Linked DNA regions of Sus scrofa. The protein of the gene in region 1 purifies or fractionates together with the protein of each later gene. This does not show direct contact. Links are inferred from orthologs where the notes say so. Each region holds a gene or a part of one and is shown in the gene's direction. Other genes may lie near its edges.

Region 1 (3,585 bases):
CTTTTTTCTCTTATCTGTTCTGCATCTGTAATTTCCACTCATCTGTCCTCCACCTCGCTTATTTTTTCTTCTGCCTCCTGAATTCTGCTGTTGGCTGCTTCTAGTGCATTTTTTATTTCCGTTCTTGTATTTTGCATCTCTTCTTGTTTAAGTTTTATATCTTGTATCTCTTTGCTCAGTGTTTCCTGTAAGTTATCCATCTTTGCCTCCAGTTTATTTCCAATGTCTTGCATCATCTTCAGCATCGACAGTCTAAATAGTCTTTTTCCTGGAGGCTGAGAATCTCCTCATGGCTTAGCTGATTTTCTGGGGTTTTTCCTTTCTCCCTCATCTGTGTTATAGTTCTCTGACTTTTCATTTTTATTGGTTTTTGGTGTGGTGACCTTTTTCCAGATAATAGAGCTGTAGCCTCTCTTCCTTCTGCTGTCTGCCCCCCTTGTGGCTGAAGTCAGTATGGGGGGCTTGCTGTAGGCTTCCTGATGGGAGGGGTGATGTGATGCCTGCCCCCTGGTAGGTGGTGCTGATTCTAATCCCTCTGGAGGGTGGGGCTTAGTCTCTGGATGGGATTAGAGGTGGCTGTGTGCCCGAGGGGTCTTTAGGGAGCCTGTTTCCTGAGCGGTGGGGCTGTGATCCCACCTGGGTTGTTGTTTGCCCTGGGGCTTCTCAGGCTGACTGATGGGTGGGGCCAGATTTTCCCAAAATGGCCCCTCCAGAGAAAGGCAGCTGCTGAATATTCCCGAGAGCGTTGCTTTCAATGTCCTTCCCTCACAACAAGCCAAGTTCACCCCTCTTTTCCCATGATGTCCTTGGAGACGCATGTTTGCATTTTCTTGGGGTCAGACTTGCCTGCTCGTGGCGCAGGTGTAGGTCTAGTTTCATGGGAAAGTGCCGGACCTTTTCTCCCAGTGGTTGTCCCATCAATGTTCCCACCAGCAATGAGTGTGAATTCCCGTTGCCTCTCGTCTTCACCTGTAGCGTCCGGTGGCATCAGCCCTTTAATCCTAGATCGTCTGTGTAGTGGGGTTCGTGTGGGTCCCCATGGATTTCGAGTCCCCACTTCAGTTCAGGGAAAACAATGATGAGGAACAGCAGGGCGAAGGATGAAGCGGGTGAGAACTGGAGATGCTGCTTGGCGGCCCCCAGCACCGTGTTCAGTCTCCCCAGCCCACCCCTTCCGCGTCCTCCCTCTACCTGCTCCTCTGCTGTAGCCATTACCTTCCCTTTTGTGCTCATAATTGTTCTAAACCTGTTTATCTCTAAAGATATTCAATAGTTTAATGACCCGAAGTGCTCTGGTGCTGAATAGTGCTGGCAGTTGTATCTGCTGGCAGTTGGGCCATGATGGACTATTTTTGTTTTTGGTGGTGGTTTAGAATTTTGGAAGGGGAGCTCATGGTTTTTTTGTTTGTTTTGTTTTTTAATCTTAGGGCTGTACCTGCGGCATAGACAAGTTCCCAGGCGGGGTTGAATCAGAGCTGCAGCTGCCAGCCTCCACCACCATTATAGCAATGTGGGATCCGAGCCTCTTCTGTGACCTACACCACAGCTTCTGGCAACGCCAGATCCTTAAACCACTGAGTGAGGCCAGGGATCGAATTCACAACCTCATGGATACTAGTCAGTTTGTTACCATTGAGCCACAATGGAAACTCGTCATGGGTTTTTGTTTTCTGTTTTTCGTTTTGGTTGTGCCTGTGGCATGTGAAGTTCCCAGACCAGGGTTGGAACCTGCACCACAGCAGTAACCCAGGCTGCAGCAGTGACAGGTCCTTATCCCACTGAGCCACCAGGGAGCTCCAAGGGAGCACATGTTAAATTAGGCTTAATTTATGGGAATCCGTGTTAGGGGGAGTCTTTGTCTCAGTCCTCTTTTCTTGCATGTCCTGACCTCTGCTCCTGCCTCTGGCTGTGGTTAAACCCTGACCTTTGGGTGCCCCATAGGGCTTCTGTCTCAGTTATTTGTCTGCTGTAACAAATGACCACTGGCTAGGGGGCTTAAACAACAGACATTTGTCTCTCACAGTTCTGGGGGCTGGATGTCCAAGCAGATCCAGTGTCAGGTGAGGGCCTGTCCCTGGTTCACAGACATGGCCGGGCTCTCACTGAGCCCACACAGTGACAGAGAGAGGAGGCATGCTCTCTGTGTCTTCGAAGGGCCCTTAACTCATTCCTGAGGCCTTCGTCATGGCCCCATCACCTCCCCAAGGCCCCACCTCTGATCCCTGTCACTCCGGGCTTCAGCGTGGCAATTGGGGGAACATTCGGCTGTCACGTGGGCCCCTGCCGCCCTGCATGTCCTCTGTCCCTGGGGTCCCTTGCCTTCCTGCTGAGCCTCTCTGTTCACTTGAGAGCGTGTTGATGTTACGTGATCCAGGATAAGTAGTTTGAAGCAGGAGGGTTTTAAATTTCTAGTCCTTCAGTTTGCCAGAAATGCAAGTCTGTGGACTAAAGATTGGGGTCTTCTGTGCTTCTTGGAAATACGGGAAACAGTTCCCCGCAGGGACTGTCCATCTGTGTGTCCTCAGAAAACGCAGGCACACTAGGTGTGTTTTTTTGAATGATGACTTTTTTGCACTGACGTGTCCTTTCATTGTCTTCACAGGGCGCAGCGCTGAGGAAGAGAGAAGTTGTGTGTTTGGGGCTTTCCGAGCGCTGGAAGGAAGGCAGACATGTCTCTGGATGACATTAAGATGAAATCTTCTGACTTTCTGGAGAAGGAGGACCTGGAGAGCGGAGGCTTCGGAAAGGTGTCCTTGTGTTTTCACAAATCCCACGGGCTTGTGATTCTGAAGAAGGTGTACACGGGCCCCAAGCGCAATGAGTGAGTGGCCCCTTGGGCCGGGGCGGAGGGCATGGGCGGGCACAGGTTTTGGGTCAGGTCACCTGCTGGGCGTTAGTGGCGTCCCTGGATCACTAGTGGGGATGCAGGGGGGCTGGTGGGGGCTGACAGCGGGTAACCAGCGGCAGCAAACTGCAGCGGGGCAGCGGGGGCGGGAAGGGGTCAAGGGTGGGTCCAGGGCAGTGAGGCGCCATGGCAGCAGGCTGCAGGGGCTGGACGGCTGGTGCTTCGCTGGCTGCAGGGCGATGCGAGGCCCAGCCCCTCACCCGGGAAGGCGCTCGCCAAGGCGGCGGGGGTTGATTCCCTCTCCTTTCCCGGAGCGCTTGTGGGAGAGGCCATTTTCTTTTTCTTTTTTTTGTCTTTTTGCCATTTCTTGGGCCGCTCCTGCGGCTTATGGAGGTTCCCAGGCTAGGGGTCCAATCGGAGCTGCGGCTGCCGGCCTACACCAGAGCCACAGCAACGTGGGATCCGAGCTGCATCTGCGACCCTCACCACAGCTCACGGCAACGCCGGATCCTTCACCCACTGAGCAAGGGCAGGGACTGAACCCGCAACCTCATGGTTCCTAGTCGAATTCGTTAACCACTGCGCCATGACGGGAACTCCCTGTTTTCTTTTTCTTTTCCTTTTTCTTTTCGGCTGGCCCTGCAGCGTGCAAAATCCTGGATCTGGGATGGCACCCGAGCCCCATCCGCTGCGGTGCCAAGGCCAGATCCTTAACCCGCTGTGCCACCTGGGGCAGCATT
Region 2 (4,056 bases), on another chromosome or scaffold:
CTGATGCGTTTTACTGTAAGATGCCTCATCTTTTGTGAATTGAGACTGTGTACAAAAATAAATAGATTTCAGTGTTCCTTTCACCAAATCTAGCTAGATACATATATAAATATACTTGTACACAAATATGTAGCAGCAGTTAGCAGAAAGTTGCTAACTTACAGCTGGGTTCTGTTTCCAATTATTTTTTTGTTCAGATTAGCTTTTAACCTGAAAGCTTCTGTGGTAGAAACAGACAAGGTACTCTCCCAGAACATAAGAGATTATTTACCATAAAATGTAGCTATGAAACTTTAGACAGGGACCACCATTTACAACCAATTTTGAAAGAAAATAGATTGTGTTCCAATGGAAGAGGTTGAGAAGTTCACCCCATGACATGAATTCCCTACTGCTCCCACCCAGTTCCCAGATCTTTCTCCAGCTCTTCGGCTTCACCTCCTTCCTTCCATTTACACTGTTAGGAACTCTAGTGATAATTGTTGTCCGGCAGTGTAACGTAAGTGGGGGCTTCTGACCCTTCCAAGGGTCAGAAGAGGTGATCCAAACTTAACAAGACCCATTTAGCTGTGGTGGCAGGTCCTAGGAGCATTCATGATGATGCTGTGGAAAGGGCTGGGGACTTTGGGAGGATGGCAGCAGGTGTGAATGTGGGGTTTCAAAGTCGAACAACTGGAAAAATGGGGTGGGGTAGGTACAGAAACCTCTTTTCTCCCACCATTTTTTGAAGCCCTGCTGGGGTCCCTTTGCTAAGATTCGTATTTGTTTAAGCCTACTTGGGGGTCAGGGAAGGGAAGTTATCTGTGATCTCAGCTTCTCTCATCCAGTTAGCTGCTTAGTCATTGGGCTTTTTCTCTGCCCTCCACCAAGGTCATCCATTTGCCACTTAGTCATTAAGTCCCTAGCTGTGATTTCCCCCTTACCATAGTTTGTGTTCAATAAATTCTGTTAAAGTACGTGGGATTTTTGGGGAGGTGATTTGTCGCTAGTTTCATTTCCTTTAAAAATAGTGTTATCTTCTTCGTCCCTTCTGGTTTGGGGGTCAGTTGCTTTGTCTACTGAGAGGATCGCTTTCTATAGATTTAACAGTATGAAATTTAACCTGCTAGATTAGGGAGACCAACAAGAAAAGGAAAGGCCTATACCTGGAATTTTAGTGACTTTGATAGGAGGATTTTTTTTTAAAAAAAAAAATTCCCTTTTAACCACAGAACTCCTCCATTGGAAAGGATTCTGAAAGAAATGAAGAAAACCATCAGAAATGAAGTCAGTACCCTCGTGGGCTTCTGTTGACTGGACTAGATTTCTCTTACTGCCGTTCCTTGGAATGACACTGTACAGAATGTCGGCTGAGGTCATCCATCAGGTGGAAGAAGCACTTGATGAAGATGAGAAGGAGATACTTCTTTTTTTGTGCCGAGACATTGCTGCAGATGTGGTTCCACTTAATGTCAGGGACCTTCTGGATATTTTAAGAGAGAGGGGAAAGCTGTCTCTTGTGAGCCTGGCTGAGCTGCTCTACAGAGTCAGGCGGTTTGACTTGCTCAAGAGGATCTTGAAGATGGACAGACGGACAGTGGAGGCCCAGCTGCTCAGGCACCCTCATCTTATTTCAGACTATAGGTAATTCCTCAGCCCTTCCCGAGACTGGACTGGTGGGAGGGAGGGAGGAGGTCTGGACTTGAGCATCATAGAAATGAGGACAGTGGGGAACAGCAGCCGCATTCCTTTCTCAACCCACTGCTCCTACTGCCGTGTTGCTGCTGCTTCATTCCTCTGAACTCCTTGAACTTTTGGGACGTGTTTGCTTAAAGTACTTGGGTAGAATCAACTGAATGAAAGGAGAAGGGCTGGATGGATGGGTTTGCCCGAAGAGTGGGGTGAGAGAAAGGAATGACTAAGAGCTAGTTCTCTTAAAATGGCTTCTGATTGCGAGATCTGCTGTGTTCTTTGCTAGCTTGATTTTCTGTGATGTCAGCGCCTGGCAATTTCCCCACCGAGAAAGGAAATAACAAGTCTGACAGTAATCTTCCTGACCTTTGTAAAGCTTTGTTAACCCTCCTGAGTCCCCATGGGTCAGTCTTTCCCCTGCTGAGGAAGTTAGTGGGGTTGGCTCACTTTCTGTGCGTTTCTGTAAGGTTCCTGTTCATGCAGGTGCTGGGGACCCCAGATTGAACATACCCTCAATCAGCCACCTCTAGGTTCCCTTCAGTCCAGAGAGGAACGGCTGCTGGAGTCCCCTTGAGCTGTTCCTTCCTTCTGTTCACACAGCAGGCTCTTGGTGGTTCAGAGGAGCACAGAAGCCACTGTGGGAAAGAAAGAGAATTTGTAACCTTAAATTAGTGATTCCTTTCTCACCAGCCTTTAGTTATATCAATCATGTGTATGTTGAATTACCGCTGTGGTGAAACAGGATCGGTGACAACTCTGCAGTGCCAGGATGCAGGTTCGATCCCCAGCCCGGCACAGTATGTTAAGGGGTCCAGCATTGCCACAGCTGTGGCTCAAATCTGATCCCTGACCCTGGAACTCTGTATGCTGCGGGGTGGCCAAAAAATTAAAAAAATTTTTTTTAAAAATATGTATTTGGAGATGACATGCATGATTAAAAACTATATGAAAGCGAGTTGAAAGCACTGTGGGCCTTGGGACGTGTCTGAGGCTTGAGGTCCAAAGGCCTGTTTGAAGCCTCAGAACCATCTGTTACAAGGCATTGAGGCTGAGCCAGCCACTGCCATCGGTTGGGCCTTCATTTTCCTACTCCTAAAGCAAAGAATAATAATAGCTGATTTCACAAGTATGGCTGTGAGGCTCAACTGTGATAATTTAGCATGTGAAGTACTTTTTAAAAGCAGGAAGCATGCTACAGATGCAAGGGTTTATTGTTGTTGTTGCTGTTTCTCTTGATCCACTTCCACTTCTCCTGGCATCATATGATGTCAGTAATCTGCTGAAAAATTTTTGGAAGCTGCTGACTGGGTTTTTGTGAATAAACTCTTTTCTGTTTCTTGCTCTGGTGAATGGAGGCGGTTCCTCAGGGCTTTTGAGCAGAGTGGCGGGGCGGGGGGTGCTAGATTCACCTATTCATCTGATGAGTGGGCTGTTTTGTGGGTTGACATAGGCCACAGGTAAGAGTAAAATGAACAAAGAATCTTCATCCTCAAGAATCTGAGAGTCTGGGGAGTTCCCATCGTGGCACAGTGGAAACAAATCTGACTAGGAACCATGCAGTTGCAGGTTCGATCCCTGGCCTTGCTCAGTGGGTTAAGGATCTGGCGTTGCCATGAGCTGTAGTGTGGGTTGCAGATGCAGCTCGGATCTGGTGTTGCTCTGGCTGTGGCATAGGCCAGTAGCTGTAGCTCTGATTGGACTCCTAGCCTGGAAACCTCCACATGCCATGAGTGCAGCCCTTAAAAAAAAAAGACAAATAAATGAATAAATAAATAAAATGAGACTCTCTTAAAAAAAAAAAAAAGAATCTGAGAGTTTGGACAGACATAGAAAACAGACTTGATGTTGCTCAGGGGGCGGGGGAAAGGGAGTGGGATGGATGGGGAGTTTGGGGTGGATAGATGCAAACTATCACATTTAGGATGCATAAACAATGAAGTGCTGCTCTATAGCCCAGGGAACTAGATCCAATCTTTTGGGATAGACCATGATGGAGAATAATATGAGAAAAAGAATATATGTATGTATAACTGGGTCACCATGCTGTATAGCAGACATCAACTCAATGCTGTAAATCAATGATGCCCTAATAAAAAAATAAATGTAATGTAAAAAAAGAATCTGAGAGTTGAATTGGGAGAATGGGCTTCTAAGCCACACTGACAATGTCAAGGTAATGAATAACAATTGTATCCTTGGGAGCCCCGATAAAGTGTGACTTAACTCCAATTGGAGCAGAGGTGACTAAGTCAGGAGGGGCTCTCTAGACAGAGGCATTTGCAGTCACAATCCCTGAGGTCGAGGCGCCTTCTACCTGTGAGGCGGGAGTGGGACAGGATAACCCAGGTGTTACTTCAGAATCTTTTGACTGGATTAGACCTGGGA

What was found. Proteins that work in one complex are often made in the same cells at the same time.
Region 2: the proteins of RIPK1 (region 1) and CFLAR purify together in Homo sapiens (affinity purification with western blotting; 5 studies listed by BioGRID and IntAct, with this or other methods). This does not show direct contact. The link is inferred for Sus scrofa from reciprocal best matches to the Homo sapiens genes RIPK1 and CFLAR.

Annotation. Positions count from the first base shown.
Region 1 is NC_010449.5:1,854,605-1,858,189, forward strand, and holds part of RIPK1 (receptor-interacting serine/threonine-protein kinase 1), read left to right. Parts: intron 1-2,602; 5' UTR 2,603-2,669; coding exon 2,670-2,821; intron 2,822-3,585. UniProt on the Homo sapiens protein: Serine-threonine kinase which is a key regulator of TNF-mediated apoptosis, necroptosis and inflammatory pathways.
Region 2 is NC_010457.5:104,798,591-104,802,646, forward strand, and holds the start of CFLAR (CASP8 and FADD-like apoptosis regulator), read left to right. Parts: upstream 1-1,220; 5' UTR 1,221-1,261; coding exon of another isoform or gene 1,262-1,327; coding exon 1,328-1,623; intron 1,624-4,056. UniProt on the Homo sapiens protein: Apoptosis regulator protein which may function as a crucial link between cell survival and cell death pathways in mammalian cells. Acts as an inhibitor of TNFRSF6 mediated apoptosis.